Chlamydomonas reinhardtii: one gene and its partner. The protein of the gene in region 1 interacts with the protein of each later gene in a pairwise test. Links are inferred from orthologs where the notes say so. Each region holds a gene or a part of one and is shown in the gene's direction. Other genes may lie near its edges.

Evidence for each region.
Region 2: the proteins of CHLRE_09g398650v5 (region 1) and CHLRE_12g485750v5 interact in binary tests that used the Arabidopsis thaliana proteins (3 or more experiments, as listed by UniProt). The link is inferred for Chlamydomonas reinhardtii from reciprocal best matches to the Arabidopsis thaliana genes AT1G03910 and AT5G63440.

Annotation. Positions count from the first base shown.
Region 1 is NC_057012.1:1,344,990-1,352,425, forward strand, and holds the start of CHLRE_09g398650v5 (uncharacterized protein), read left to right. Parts: upstream 1-2,529; 5' UTR 2,530-2,679; coding exon 2,680-2,844; intron 2,845-3,108; coding exon 3,109-3,264; intron 3,265-3,443; coding exon 3,444-3,515; intron 3,516-3,971; coding exon 3,972-4,082; intron 4,083-4,288; coding exon 4,289-4,441; intron 4,442-4,628; coding exon 4,629-4,717; intron 4,718-5,001; coding exon 5,002-5,198; intron 5,199-5,414; coding exon 5,415-5,521; intron 5,522-5,720; coding exon 5,721-5,852; intron 5,853-6,281; coding exon 6,282-6,467; intron 6,468-6,635; coding exon 6,636-6,910; intron 6,911-7,174; coding exon 7,175-7,355; intron 7,356-7,436. UniProt on the Arabidopsis thaliana protein: Plays a role in pre-mRNA splicing by facilitating excision of a subset of introns. Required for embryogenesis.
Region 2 is NC_057015.1:1,686,133-1,693,508, reverse strand, and holds CHLRE_12g485750v5 (uncharacterized protein), read left to right. Parts: upstream 1-2,374; 5' UTR 2,375-2,541; coding exon 2,542-2,653; intron 2,654-2,749; coding exon 2,750-2,864; intron 2,865-3,101; coding exon 3,102-3,243; intron 3,244-3,502; coding exon 3,503-3,694; intron 3,695-4,232; coding exon 4,233-4,403; 3' UTR 4,404-4,778; downstream 4,779-7,376. Other genes in the region: CHLRE_12g499301v5 (uncharacterized protein), read right to left, coding at 143-409, 579-656, 987-1,067, 1,267-1,335, 1,532-1,654, 1,822-2,103; CHLRE_12g485800v5 (uncharacterized protein), read left to right, coding at 5,178-5,327, 5,640-6,278, 6,520-6,624, 6,796-7,297. UniProt on the Arabidopsis thaliana protein: May play a role during early embryonic development. Probably involved in pre-mRNA splicing.

The DNA of each region.
Region 1 (7,436 bases):
GGCTGGCAGTGTGGGGATGCGCGGAGGGGCGGAGTGGACAAGGCGCGTGTGCAGGTATGCGTGCTTCGTGTGGGGGGCCTTGACGGCGGGCGGCTCGTCCGGTGCGGTATGGGCCGCTCCCGTGCCCTGGAGCCTGTGCGCCGCGCCTGCCCGGCTCTCAGTGCTGAGCCAGCCTAGATGCCATGCTATAACGGCGCTCGGGCCGCCAGGAATCCACACGGCCGGGCCACACGGTGTCCGGGCGCCCGGCCACCCCACACGGCGCAGGGCCCACGGAGGGTCCCAGCGTCCGCGCGGCTGCTGCAAAAATGCCCAGCCCTGATTCTTTCGGACGTGTGTCCATAGAGGCTTGCTCGGAGCTCCCTGGCCGTGCACGGGGGCCATACCTGGCGCGTGGGTGGGCATGTTGACATGTTTGCCGGGTCCGCATTTCGTTAGGATTCGGGCTACCCCCACTTCAAGGCAGCTTGTTTGCGGTCATTTGAGGCGACCTATATGCTCATATGCAAATGGAGGAACCGACGCCAGGAAAGTGGCGACTTTTAGACGGAGCCTTCGCGGCTCGCGACCGGGCCGGCCGCGCGAGAATTGCGAAAACAACTCCTGAGGCCAGAACAAATGCCGCTCAACCAGTGCGACCTACGGCTTACACATATACCTGTATATCTAATTTCTAACAGCGCTCGCCAGCACCGCCACAATCGTGTGCCAGGTCGGGCCGTGGCACGGTGCCCGGGCACTGGCCCGCGTGCGCTTCCTGGGCCGCCATGCCCCTCTGGTGCATACCACTCCCACCCCCGCCCTCTAGACACCTCTGGATATATGCATAGTAGTTGCCAGCATCACAACGTGGCAAAGCAGCCCGCACACGGACGTCGCCAAGGCGGCACCCAGCCCGGAGGCGCGTGCAAGGCCACGCGCTGCGCCCTGAGCCGGCAGGGGCTGCCCGGGCTGGCCGCGCATGCCGCCATGGCGTGGCCAGCTGGCACAGAGCCCGCGCATAGCGATGCGGGCGGCTGTGGGCAGCCAGCAGCCGCCGGCACGCACCCACCCATGCCGTTCGTCGCCCACTGCCGCCCACAGCACAAGCGCAGTGCATCCCCAGTCGCGGCCCGGGCGTGGGACTGGTTGAAGGGGCGCCGTCCCACGTCAGGTAGTACCCAGAGCCTGGCTGGCAGTGTGGGGATGCGCGGAGGGGCGGAGTGGGCAAGGCGCGTGTGCAGGTATGCGTGCTTCGTGTGGGGGGCCTTGACGGCGGGCGGCTCGTCCGGTGTGGTATGGGCCGCTCCCGTGCCCTGGAGCCTGTGCGCCGCGCCTGCCCGGCTCTCAGTGCTGAGCCAGCCTAGATGCCATGCTATAACGGCGCTCGGGCCGCCAGGAATCCACACGGCCGGGCCACACGGTGTCCGGGCACCCGGCCACCCCACACGGCGCAGGGCCCACGGAGGGTCCCAGCGTCCGCGCGGCTGCTGCAAAAATGCCCAGCCCTGATTCTTTCGGACGTGTGTCCATAGAGGCTTGCTCGGAGCTCCCTGGCCGTGCACGGGGGCCATACCTGGCGCGTGGGTGGGCATGTCGACATGTTTGCCGGGTCCGCATTTCGTTAGGATTCGGGCTACCCCCACTTCAAGGCAGCTTGTTTGCGGTCATTTGAGGCGACCTATATGCTCATATGCAAATGGAGGAACCGACGCCAGGAAAGTGGCGACTTTTAGACGGAGCCTTCGCGGCTCGCGACCGGGCCGGCCGCGCGAGAATTGCGAAAACAACTCCTGAGGCCAGACCAAATGCCGCTCAACCAGTGCGACCTACGGCTTACACATATACCTGTATATCTAATTTCTAACAGCGCTCGCCAGCACCGCCACAATCGTGTGCCAGGTCGGGCCGTGGCACGGTGCCCGGGCACTGGCCCGCGTGCGCTTCCTGGGCCGCCATGCCCCTCTGGTGCATACCACTCCCACCCCCGCCCTCTAGACACCTCTGGATATATGCATACTAGTCGCCAGCATCACAACGTGGCAAAGCAGCCCGCACATGGACGTCGCCGAGGCGGCACCCAGCCCGGGGGTGCGTGCAAGGCCACGCGCTGCGCCCTGAGCCGGCAGGGGCTGCCCGGGCTGACCACGCATGCCGCCATGGCGTGTCCGGCTGGCACAGAGCCCGCGCATAGCGATGCAGGCGGCTGTGGGCAGCCAGCAGCCGCCGGCACGCACCCACCCATGCCGTTCGTCGCCCACCGCCGCCCACTGCACAAGCGCAGTGCATCCCCAGTTTGCGGTCATTTGAGGCTACCTATGTGCGAAATGGTAAATGTTTGTTATGTGGTACAACCATAACACGCCGTGCACGGTTACTTTATTCCTGCTGCCCCAGCCGCTTGCCTGTACTCCTGCGGCGTGCCGTCACTGCCGTGCCTCTCATCGTGCCGCCCCCATGCTCGTGTGTCAGATTTTTCCCCACTTGGCAGTCGGCAGGCCCCCACGAGTTCCATAGTTGTTTACTTTTCACATAAAGGACAGATATGGTTTAATCGCGTTTGACAGCACGAGACCGAGTCGGAAGAAGCAACTGTCACTGCCATCTGCCACTGCATGTAAAAATGAGTCTAGCACAACGTTGATCCCTACTTGAGCTCTATTAACTTGCTTTTGCGCCTAGGCTCGGCGAGCCTCGGAAATGGGCAAGACGGACAAAAAAGAGAAGAAGGACAAAAAGGAGCGCAGGGATAAAAAGTCAAAGAAGGAGCGCAAGGAGAAGAAAAGCAGCAAGCGATATGAAAGCTCTTCCAGCTCGTCTTCTTCTGAGTCGGAGGGCGAGCAGCATCGCCGCGTGGATAAACTGGTAAGCTCTCAATGATACGTAAATTGAGCTTCCGAGGCTTGCTTTTGGGCTTGGTGGCCAAGATCCCGAGTTTAGTTTGGCTGCGCTTGCCGCGCACTGGGCTGTACAGGCACCATAACAACTGTAACAATGCCTTTGATGTCGGGAATGGATATGAGGTATCCTGAGCTTGGGCACATGCAGTCGGCACCGCCGTGCCCCGTCTGGGCCCGCACTCAGGCTGGCAACCCCACTGCCCGCGGCCGTGCTTCCTTGATTGCGCAGGCCACCAAAGTGGCGGCCCACCTGCAGCGAACGGGCGCCAGCACGGGTGGTCCCACGTTTGTGTGGACTAAGAAGATCGAGCGCGAGCTGGAGAGCGGCAAGACCGTGAGGGACATCGCCAACGCACAGTCGCGCATCTCGCAGGCGGAGCGCATGGTGAGTGGTCCGGGCTGCGAGCGTAGTGTTGGGGAAGGGTAGTTCAGGGCGGGTGTAGGGGCTCTTCATGCTGGGTTGGTGTGCCCTGGTGCAAAAGCATTGAGCAAGGGCTCGAGGACAGGTGGCAATGACGCCTGAGGCCTGACCGCCCCATCTGCTCTGCATTGTGTCCATCGCAGGAGGAGATTGAAAAGGTCCGCAAGCGGCAGGCGGAGCGCGAGGAGGAGAAGGCGCGCCGCGAGGAGGAGCTGGTGCGTGCGGGTTGGGTCATACGCGGGCCACGGGCCGGTCGGGCGGTGCTGAAAGTCCGGACCAGGTAGAACTTCATCAGTGGGGTTGGGTGTTAGGAGTGGCATGCAGTGGGCTGACCTTTGCCAGGGGCTTGCTAGGGGCTTGCCAGGGGCTTAGTAGGTTGTCGTGGGCAGAGTCTATCAAACTCGGTTGGCGGGTACGGTCGAGGCTCGCAATCGGGGGTTGTCAGCTACCCAGCTGCCCAGGGACATCTGCGTGGCGATTTCACGTGATATGGCGCTGGTACCGGGCAAGAGTGGGACCCGGACGGCGACGGGCATCAGGGGCCCGGGCGGACTGCTCCGTAACGCCCCTCAGCCCTTGCCCACAGCGCCTTCCCTTGCGGCATGACTCCTGCCCCATACCTGGGCTTGGAACTGACTAACCCCTCCCTCCCAACACCCTCACTCGCGCAGTCTCTCATCCAGCGGCTGCGCGCCGCCCAGGAGGCCATGGAGAGCGAGGCCAAGGAGGAGGAGTTCTACCTCAACGCGCTCAAGAACAAGGCGGAGAAGCGGTTCGCAGAGGTGAGGGGGCAAGGCCGGGGTGCAGGCGCTTGCCCAGGCGAGGGAGCGGGTGAGGAGGAAGAGTCGCGGGCAAACGGGCGTGCGCCTACTGGGTTATCATTCTTATCAAGCCGAAACCATTACCGTCACGTCATCGACCGCCGCCGCTTACACCACCACCATCGCGCCTGCCACCAACTCCGCCCCATCCCGGCACCACCCCTTAGGGCCGGCCCAGCTCCATCGATAAGATCGCCAAGAACCTGCACGAGTCGCTGCACGGCGTGTACGGCTGCGACATGACGGAGCCCTGGAGCTACTTCGAGGGGCTGCTGCTGGACGAGGCCACCGAGCTGCACCAGGGCATATGCGACTACCAGGTGCGAGGATCATGCGTGCGGGGGTAGGGGCGCGGGGAGGAAAGAGGGAGGCGAGGGAGGCGCTCACCGGTCGAAACAGGCACAACCGGGCTAGCGCAGAAAGTTGTGCCTAAGCTCTTGCCCGGAAAGCAACAACAACAAACATCCGGTAACGGGAACCACCACACCTGCTTTCACGGCGCCACAGGAGTACGACAAGTACGACGACCTGCATCAGAAGTTCTGGGCGGCGCTGCGGGTGGTGGCGGACGCCGAGCTGGAGGAGGCCAAGAAGAGGTGCGGGCAGGGTGCGGTGGGGGCGTTGGGGGCACGTGGAGATGGATGAGGAGCTGGCTTGCTGTGCTTGCTAGGGGCCTCGGACGGGTGGGCGTCACGACCGCCGGGAAGGGTTGCTTGGTGCACAGCGGAGCAGCGGAGCAGGCATAGAGCACGTACGCATCTGGATGTGCGGTAAAGCCTCAGCCCTGAGTCCACTGCTGTCCACGCCCTCCTCAACTACACATCCCGTGGGGACGTTGCTTTTCGTCCTGAGCACGTTGCGCGTTGCTTGCCGCGTACAGGGATGCGGCCGACCGCGCCGCACTGCGCCAGGGCCAGGGCGGTGCCGGCGGCAGTGGACGCGGGGGCGGTGGTGGCAGTGGCCGGGGAGGCGGCGGCGGCGCGGCGGCCAGCGCGGCTGCCGCTGCCGAGGAGGAGGCGGCTGGGCGCAGCAGCCTGCACAGTGACGTGGAGGTGCAGATCGAGAACATGCTGTCGGGTGCGTGCGTGCATGGCGGCGTGGGAGGCCATCGCAGGGTTCTGTAGCGGGTGCCTTGGGGTGAGTGCATTTCGGCGGGCGTGCCTCGTCAGTTCGTCAGAAACCTCGTGACTTGACCGTGCCCTGATGAGCCCCTAGACAGACACAAGAAAACAGGCTAGCAAACAACCCCGCGTGCCCACGCACCTGCACCTGACCACCCGCCCGCCCGCGCAGGCCAGACCTACCCGGCGCTGGTGGCCATGGAGGGCGACGTGGAGCGGGCGCTGTCGGGCGGGCTGGGCGACCCGGAGTACTGGGAGGCGGTGCTCAAGAGGCTGCAGGTGAGTGTGGCGTTAGGAGCGTTGTTTGGGGTGGTGGGGTTGTCTCGCCATTTCCAGCAAGCAATCGGAGACACGAGGATGCATACCCGGACGAGCTGTCCGGTGCGTCCGCAAGTGCAGTGCATCGTCCTTGCCGCAACTGCGCCCCTGATTTCCCGTGCCGCGCCACGCCTGCCCGCCTGCCCCCGCCTGCCCCCAGGTGCACAAGGCCAAGGCCCAGGTGCGGGAGCTGCTGGCGGCCTTCATGCAGCGCCACATCAGCGCAGAGATCATCAAGCGCGAGCAGGCGCGAGAGGAGCGCAAGCGGCAGGCGGAGGAGCGGCGGCAGCAGGTGCGGGCGTGTAGCAGGGGAAGCGGGCGGGGTGCGGGCAGGCAGTCGGGCGGGTTGCGGGCGCGCACCGGGCGGCCGGGCGCTATAGTGGTCATTTGGTGGGCGCGCGCGCTGTGGATGAGGCTTGCAGGCCATATGTACAGGAGCAGCCATGGGGTATGGCTAGCCGGAAGGACGGCGGGTAATAAGGATTGCCGGGACAGGGGATGGCTGGCAGAAGGGCACAGGGAACAAGAGCTGTCAGGGAGATTGTCAGGCAGCGGACAGTCGAGGCAGCGCTGAATAACATCTCCGGGAGACATCTCACGTGCCCTTCCGCCTCGCGTGCATGCTTTGTGGGCGGCATCTCAAGCGCGTTTGACATCCCCAAACCTTCTGCCCAGTGCTGCGCGCTGACCCAGTCGCGGCTGTCGCCCTTTCCTTCTTCAGGCGCTGGCGGAGGGCCGCGACCCCGCGGAGTTGGACTTGGAGGAGAGCAGCAGCGAGGAGGAAGAGGAGGAGGAGCCGGAGCGGCCGGAGAAGCCGGAGCGGGGAGGCGCGGCAGGAGCAGCTGGAGGGGCGGCGGGCGAGGAGCGGAGACGCAAAGAGCCGGGCACGGGGCCCGCGACCGAGGAGGTAAGTGCATGACAGGGCACTGGACACAGGGCAGGTTGGCCCAACCAGACGTGACAAGGCTCACGGCTGGAATGGGCACATTACGGCGTGTGATGTCCGTTCACGCCTAGGTCCTCACTACTCCTCCTGTCTTCACGCGCATCCATGTTTCATCCCTCCTCTGTACAGGAAGCAGCGGCGGCGGGGCCGTCGCGGCCAGCCGGCGCCGACCAAATGGATACGGACGGCGGCGCCGGCACCAGCAAGGGCGAGGGAGCTGACGGGGACGCGGGCGGCGAGGGCGAGGGCGGGGACGCGGCGGCGGGCGGCGAGGAGGAAGCCTCGGAGGAGGAGGACGAGTTCTTTGAACCTGACGTGGATGCTGACGGGCGGCACAGCCCGCCGCCGGTACGGCCCGCGGAGGTGGCGGGCAAGGACGTGGTGAACGAGGAAGACGACTTCAGGTGCGTGCGTGGGATATGGGTGGGAGGGCGGGTGGGCAATGGAAGGCGTTTGATTTTAGGGCGGAGGAGTGCGTACACATGCTCTCGCAAGACTGTCGGAGGCCACCAAGTGTGGTGATGTGGCGTGAGGCGCGCATGGGCAGCTTGAGATGTTGTGGCTGGTGCGCCTTGACTGACCTTAGCTACGCATCCAGCACCCCTCCAATGTCCTTCCACTCCCCCATCACCCATCCCCTATTTGCTGCACAACGGTGTTGTCCGCAGGGCGCTGCAGCTGCTGCGGCAGCAGGTGAAGCTGCAGGCCGCCAACGCCTTCAAGGCCGCCGCAGCGCTGGCCAGTGTGCCCGGAGCCAACAACCAGTCGGCGGCGGAGCGGGCCTACCAGGCGCTGCTGGCGCGAGGCGGCGGCGCCACACACCCCATGCTGCGGAACCTGGCGGCGGAGGTGCGTGAACGGTGTTAGGATGGCTTGCGGGTTGTGCGTCGTGGTATAGATGGCAGGTGCAGTGTAGATGGCAGGTCACGA
Region 2 (7,376 bases), on another chromosome or scaffold:
CTGCACACACACGCTGCAGCACACACATGGTCTTGCGCAGAGCACGGACCGCTGTGTCAACACGCAACACACGCACCCCGGCGGTGCGCAGTCCGCACGTGCGCACCGGTACCAAGCTCATCAAACACATGTCTCGCCAACATCACGCGCCGCTGGAAGGACCACTGCCGATCGCCACATCCCCACCACCACTGCTGCCGCCACTACCGCCCTGCCGCACTGCACCCTCACCCGCCCGGCCGCCGCCCTCGGGCGCACCGCCGCCGCCCGACTGCCGTACCGCATCGCCGTCAGAGGCGGCGGTGCCGCCACCAGCGGTGGTGGTAGCAGTGATGTTGGAGGTGCGGGACTGTGAGGTGGCGCCAGCGCTGGCGCCGGTCGCGTCCTGGTCGGCGGAGACGAAGGAGGTCTGCGTGGAGGCGGCACACGGCCAAGATTGTTGGAAAGGCGAGGGGGATCAGGGGCGTCGTGTCCAACACATTTGGCGTGTGCCTGGCATAGTCCGTGCGCAGTGCGCGTTCATGCACTACTCTTGCCCTTGCACCTAGCTACCCGCGGCCCCCGCCACTTCTCCATACCTGTGCCGCCCCCTGGTCGTATTGCTCCGCCGACACATTGCCCCACGTCTCCTGGGCATTGACACCACTGCGCCGGTCCTGTGGCGTGTGGGGTTCGGGTGTGGTCCAAGGCTTAGCCGCTTACACCAACAAACTGTCGAGTGCGTGTGCCAACATCGCTCTATAAACGATTGAACACAAACTGCCTTTCTGGTGTTCCTGGGGGGCTTCGCCCCCCCCCCCGAATCGCTGTGCTCGGGGGGCTCAGCCCCAAAAGGGTTGTTATCGAAGCGCAAGAACAGATACGAGGGCTGCCCTACCTGTGCAGGCGCGTGTCACCAAGAGCACCGTCATTGTGATGGGCGAGGACACAAACCCCCTCCTCCAGTCCTACACAGCCCTCCGCCCCCTCTTGCCCCCCCGCTGTACCTGCAGCAGCATGGCTCCAGGCATCTTGCCCTCCGCCGCCTGCCGCTCCAGAAGAGCGTCCTTGGCAGCCTGGAGCTCCTCCTGGGCGGTGGTGGGGAGTGGGTGGGGAGGGGGGCCGGGTGGGAAGTGTATAGAGACGGGGGCGCAGTCGTTTGCAATTCCGCAGGAAGTCAAGACCCGAAGCGCACATGCACACGCTCCAGGCCCTCGGCCCCCAGCCGTCACGCCGTCATGCCGGCACGCCGTCACGCCGTCACGCCGTCACACCTCCACGCCCCACCTTGGGCTTGTCCACCCGCCTGCCGCTGTCGTCCAGCTGGCTGGTGGCGATGTAGCCGCCCGTGGTGTCCTGCAGCACGTGTAGGTAGTAGCAGCAGCAGTGGGGGCAGGGCAGTAGCAGCACATGTAGGCAGTAGCAGCAGCAGTGGGAGCAGGCAGTAGCAGCATGAAAGGCAGTAGCAGCAGCAAGGGCAGAAGTGGTTGGGGCAGCCGCTGGTCGGTGGACAGGCACTCGTCAATAGCAACAACATGCCACTGTCGCTCACCATGTTTGGGCGGCGCGGCCGCGGAGTGGTGTCGCCTTGCGCCGAGCTGCTGCTGCTGCTGCCGCCGGCTGACGCACGCGTGCTTGTGGCAAAGGCGCGGTCGCTCGATGCTTTGTGCGACGGCTGTAGATGTGCGTGTTTGAACACTTTGACTTGCGCCAAGGGAGATGGCGGGGCATTTGCGTGCGGCGGGGCATTTGTTCGCGGTGGGGCACTTGCCACGCCATGCCTGGGGCCCGCGGGTCAATAGCTAAGCCCTTCGAAACTCAAGTCCCAATCCTGCCTCCCACCTGACAGCTGCTGTCGTGGAAGGCTTGCAACTGCAGTGGCAGTGGCTGCAGGGGCCGGTGGCGCGGACAGGGCGTGGCCAGCGCGAGGTGCGTCCGGGGTTGGGTTGGTTCGGCAGTAGCAGCCGTCGCCGGCGGGCGGGCGCTGAGCGGGGCTGCAGCAGTGCTCCTGAAAGCCCCGGCAGTCATGTTGCAGGAGCATGATGCATGCCACAAGAACCCGGCAGCGGCGGCGCGGGCAGCGGCGGTCGCTGGCAACAGGAAGGCGGGGCCGGGCGCGGCCATGGCCCCGGGCGCCTGAGACGACTGGCAGCTGACAGCCCTACAGCTCACTTGACATGCACCTGAGGTTCAAGGTATGGGGCTAGTCTCAGCACGAACTGGACATGGCGAGGCATAGGCGTGCATACGGGATCGCAGGCTAATAACGTATGGCACGCATACCGGGCCACCGGGAGGGGATGGCAGATGGAATGGGTTTGGCACGCCCATTCTTCAACACCCTACCTTGCCGTGCTACGGCGGGTCCTTGTTTTTAAGCACTCCGTTCTTTTAACGCACCCTTCCGCCTATAGCAGTTGAACAGTGCCCAGAGGAAGCGTAACAACACAAGAATCTCTGCAAGAATCTATCAGTTTCCAGCCTCGCAGGAGGCTGCCGCTGCGGCCTCCAAGCTGACTTGACTCTACTATACAGATACCTGACCTCCGAGCTAACTAGAGAATGCCAAAGCGCACTACGCTAACGTTTACCAGCGAGGACGGGCCCCGCGTTGACTCGGCAAAGCTTTATGTCTATCACTGCAAATATTCTGGACGTCATGCCTTCACGATAGGTGGGCTGAGCGCTGAAGCCGGTTGACGACAGCATTTTCGCGCTCACTCTCGCGTGCGGACAAGAAGTGAAATCGGAGTGCCGCACACGCACGCAGATGCTGACCTGAAGAAGATGCCACGGCGGCGAACGGACGGGGCTTACATCGTGGACACGAACGAGCATACCATCAAGCTCTACACCACGGATGGTGGGCTCAAGTACATCAAGCGGTGAGCCGGGCGAGGGCACGCTGTACACCGTGACTTCACACCGGCGCACGTAGGGGACTCAGGGGGCTCACCGGTGGTTACCTTCGCAGCGGGTGCAGGGCAGGGCAGGGTGTGGCAGGGGTGAAGGACCAAAACCAACGCAACCGCGCCTGCCTCCCTCCCTGCCGCGTATCCGTGCCCTCCCTCACTTCAACCCAACCCCTACTCCCTCTTCTCCCCCTCTCACCCAACTCGCAGCCAGAACGGCGCCATTGAGAAGCAGTACCGCCAGAACCTGGGCCAGCTGCCCATCGCCTACAAGTCCGACCTGACCAGCCCGCTGCTCTACATCCTGGACAACGCCGTCACAACCTTCTCCAACCAGAACGCGCGGAGAGCGGTGAGGAGGAGGAGGAGGAAGAGGAAGAGAGGGAGAGGGAGAGGGAAGGGGTCGTTGAGAGGAAGAGGAGTGCGGAAGGGGAGAGCGGGTGCTGGGCGGCATTCTGGGATGGCGGCACGGGCGGACGGGCCTGGCGGCTCCTTGTTGCGCACTTTGGCCCCAGGTACGGTACCACCCATTTCCAACGAGCATCCCAAGTACCCGCAGCCCACCTCCCCACCACCCCAACCCCGACCCGCCCCCGCACCCCTACCCCCAGGGCAAGCTGCTGGTGCCTCCCTGCATCACGCGCTCCGACAAGACGGGCCTGGTGGAGATGCGCATCGAGCTGGACGAGCGCTCGCACCGCTGCTGCCTGAGCCGCGTCACGGCGGACGTGGTGCGGGTGCACGTGACGGGCCTCATGGCCGGCGACGCCGTGCACGAGGAGCTGTTCGACCTCATCAGCAAGGTGCGGGCGGGGGCGCGTGTGCGTAAGTGTGTGTGGGTGGGGGGTGGGAGGGGTTATGGGGCGCTCATCGGCCGGTGGCCGTTCATGGAACAATGGGAGGGGCCTGATCCGCGTTGCTTTCAGGGGGTTGAGGAGAGGAGGGGTACGGTGGTGGCGGTGTGTGGTGCTAGCGGGTTTTTCCAACAACCAGGAGAAAGCAAAAAGAGAGAAGATCACGATCATGTGGGGAAGGTTAGGGGCGAGGGTGCAGATGAGGAGAGGGGCTTGGAGTGGAGGGAGGTTGAATGAAGGCAGGAGGAGGAGGCTGGGGAGAGGATAGGAGAGGAATGGGAAAAGCATGCCAGCCACGTTTCCCAGGCGCCTGGGCGATGGTTGGCTCGCACACTGGGGCCTCCAGGAACCCTGGTGCGAGCCCCCGCTCCCCACATGTGCCACATCTGCATGGCGGGAGCAGCTAGGCGGACAGCGTCTGCTATGGCGGCACTAGTTTCTTACCCCTGCTCGCGCCTTCCCTCCTACTGCTGCCCCCTCCCCCCAGGTGCTCAACGTGCGCCTGTCCCAGCTGGACATCCGGCGCGCCAAGCACAACCGCAACCGCATCATGACGGTGGAGGGCCTCACGCCCGAGCAGGTGTTCGAGCGGCTGAGGGAGCAGCTCAAAAAGCAGAGCACCGCGCGCGAGGAGAAGCGGCAGCGGCGGCACGGGTAGCTGTGGTTACGGAGGTGGGGCAGGTGTTGCGGCGGCTGTATAGTGCTGGGTGGAGGCGGAGATGGAGGTTGGGAGGCTTCGAAGGGGCGGGCGGAAAGCAGTCGGATCGTGTGTGGTCGTTGGCTTCAGGTTGGGGCTGCGGTGTGGAGGTAGCCAGGGCCGGGACCGCCCGGCCCCCGACGATCACAGGAAGATTTTGGAAGTGTAAGCGGAGCCTGCTGCGTCCGTTGTGTGGCACACACCAACTGCGCTGAGGACCGAACAGGTGGACATGTCGGAGCTGACTCCCGACATGCCAACGCAGTCCACTCCGCCCAGGCTGGCGCAACGGGGATGTGAGCAGGTGCTGTGAGTTATTTGTAACTGCTTACTATGAATGGTTTAACGCAGCGATAGTGGCAATTCTAGGTTGGCCTCGCGGATGGTGCGTGTCGCGCGAGCGGTCGCAGTTGGTCGCGCGCGGGCGGGCGAGCCTTCGCTCTCTTGCGCGAGGAGCAGCTCAGTATTGGTATAATTGTTGCTTTGAATTATCGCAAGCAACCACTCGACTGGTTCCACCACTCGCACCACAACCACCGCTCGCGACCACACAGGCGCGGCTGTGCCCCATGCAGCCCGACGTCATAAGTGCGTCCGCGCGCCACCAAACACTTCATATTATGCATTGGGGCTCCATACAGTAGCGACTCTATACGTGACACTACACTTACCGTGAACGCAAAACACCTAAGTGCTTGAGCCTCTATTGTCCCAAAGCCCCGAACCCCAGCCGAGATGTCTGCCTTCACTGCGCGCCCTGAGGCGCTGGCCTCCAAGGCCGGCCGCCGCACTTTCGCCCGCAACACTGAGGCCCTTCGCTCGCAGCTGCTGGGCCTGCCCAAGCGCTCCAGCCGCGTGACCGCCAAGTACTCGCCCAAGCAGCTCGTAAGTGATCGATCTGTGCTGCAAAGCTTCAACACACCAATAATATCAGTGGTTATAAGGGATAGACATGGCATTGGGTATTTTTGAGGGCTTGGGTTGTCGATCTGCTTGGGCCATCGCCCACGTAGGCTTGCGCGTGTGGCCACCACCAGCCCACACATGGCCGACCCACTGAATGCATTTGTATTACATGTGTGGGGATATGGGAGCCGAACAGCGGTCCTATGAGCGCTCGACCGGGGCTTCGCGACTGAACCACACATCGCGACGAATGATGCTGAGCCCTTTCCTTTGCTTGCATTGCGCATTCAGAGCGAGAACCTGGCCTCTGAGCTGGTGGCCAAGCTGCCCAAGGCGGCCCTGGCCTCCCTGCTGTCCCTGTCCACCGCGGGCGTGGCCACTGCTGCCGACTACTTTGCGCCCCCCACCGACGCCAACACCACGACCACCACCGCGACAACCCAGGCCCCCGCCTCCATGAACTTCGCCTCCTCCGCGCCCCTGGCTGCACCCGAGGTTCGCTCCGAGTACACCCTGCCTGAGGGCAACCAGTGGCGCTACTCCGAGTTCGTGAACGCGGTCGAGGCCGGCAAGGTGGAGCGCGTGCGCTTCTCCAAGGACGGCTCCCAGCTGCAGCTGACCGCCGTGGACGGCCGCCGCGCCACCGTGGTCCTGCCCAACGATCCCGACCTGGTTGACATCCTCGCCAAGAACGGCGTGGACATCAGCGTCAGCGAGGGCGACCAGCAGGGCAACTACGTCGCCCTGCTCGGCAACATCCTGTTCCCCCTGATCGCCTTCGGCGGCCTGTTCTTCCTGTTCCGCCGCAGCCAGAACGGCGGTGGCGGTGCCGGCCCCATGGGCGGCATGGGCGGCGCCATGGACTTCGGCCGCTCCAAGTCTAAGTTCCAGGAGGTGCCCGAGACTGGCGTGGTGTTCGATGACGTGGCGGTGAGTTACAGGGCTTGGGTTGGGAGGATGGGTGGTGCTGGTGGGGATGTTGGGTTGATGGGTACTGGGGAATGATCATATGAGCATGGGTCATAGGCTCTGAAAAGCGCTGGGCTGGACTCTGTAGCACGGCTATGCAAGGCGCTCGACAGCAGCAACACGCCGACCGCATACTACCTTGCTTCGACACGGCCTCATCTCACCGCGCCCAATACCCACCACAACCCACATTGAACTGCAGGGCTGCGACGGTGCTAAGCTGGAGCTGCAGGAGGTTGTCGACTTCCTGAAGAACCCCGACAAGTACACCGCCCTGGGCGCCAAGATCCCCAAGGGCTGCCTGCTGGTGAGTCTACAGCCCTTAATACACAGCAACAGTCCAATTTACGGCAACAGCAAATGCTCAACCATCCAGTTGCATTCCTAATTGTGAGATGCCGTCTTGCTCGATGTGTCTGAAGCAAATGCCCGTAGTCTGATGCCCACGGTCTAATGAGTTTCCTTATGTGTATCGCAGGTCGGTCCCCCCGGTACCGGTAAGACCCTGCTGGCCAAGGCCGTGGCCGGTGAGGCCGGCACCCCCTTCTTCTCCTGCGCCGCCTCCGAGTTCGTGGAGGTGTTCGTGGGCGTGGGTGCCTCGCGTGTGCGCGACCTGTTCGAGAAGGCCAAGTCCAAGGCGCCCTGCATCATCTTCATTGATGAGATCGACGCCGTGGGCCGCCAGCGCGGCGCTGGCATGGGCGGCGGCAACGACGAGCGCGAGCAGACCATCAACCAGCTGCTGACGGAGATGGACGGCTTCGAGGGCAACACCGGCGTCATCGTGCTGGCCGCTACCAACAGGCCCGACGTGCTGGACCAGGCGCTGCTGCGCCCCGGCCGCTTCGACCGCCAGGTGACGGTGGACCGCCCCGACGTGCAGGGCCGCGTGTCCATCCTCAAGGTGCACTCGCGCGGCAAGGCGCTGGGCAAGGACGTGGACCTGGAGAAGATCGCGCGCCGCACGCCCGGCTTCACCGGTGAGCATTGGCTGTAGCAGCAGCTTGGCTTTCAGGGGTTGGGATGAAGTGGGTTTGGTGGATTTGGCGGGTAACAGCA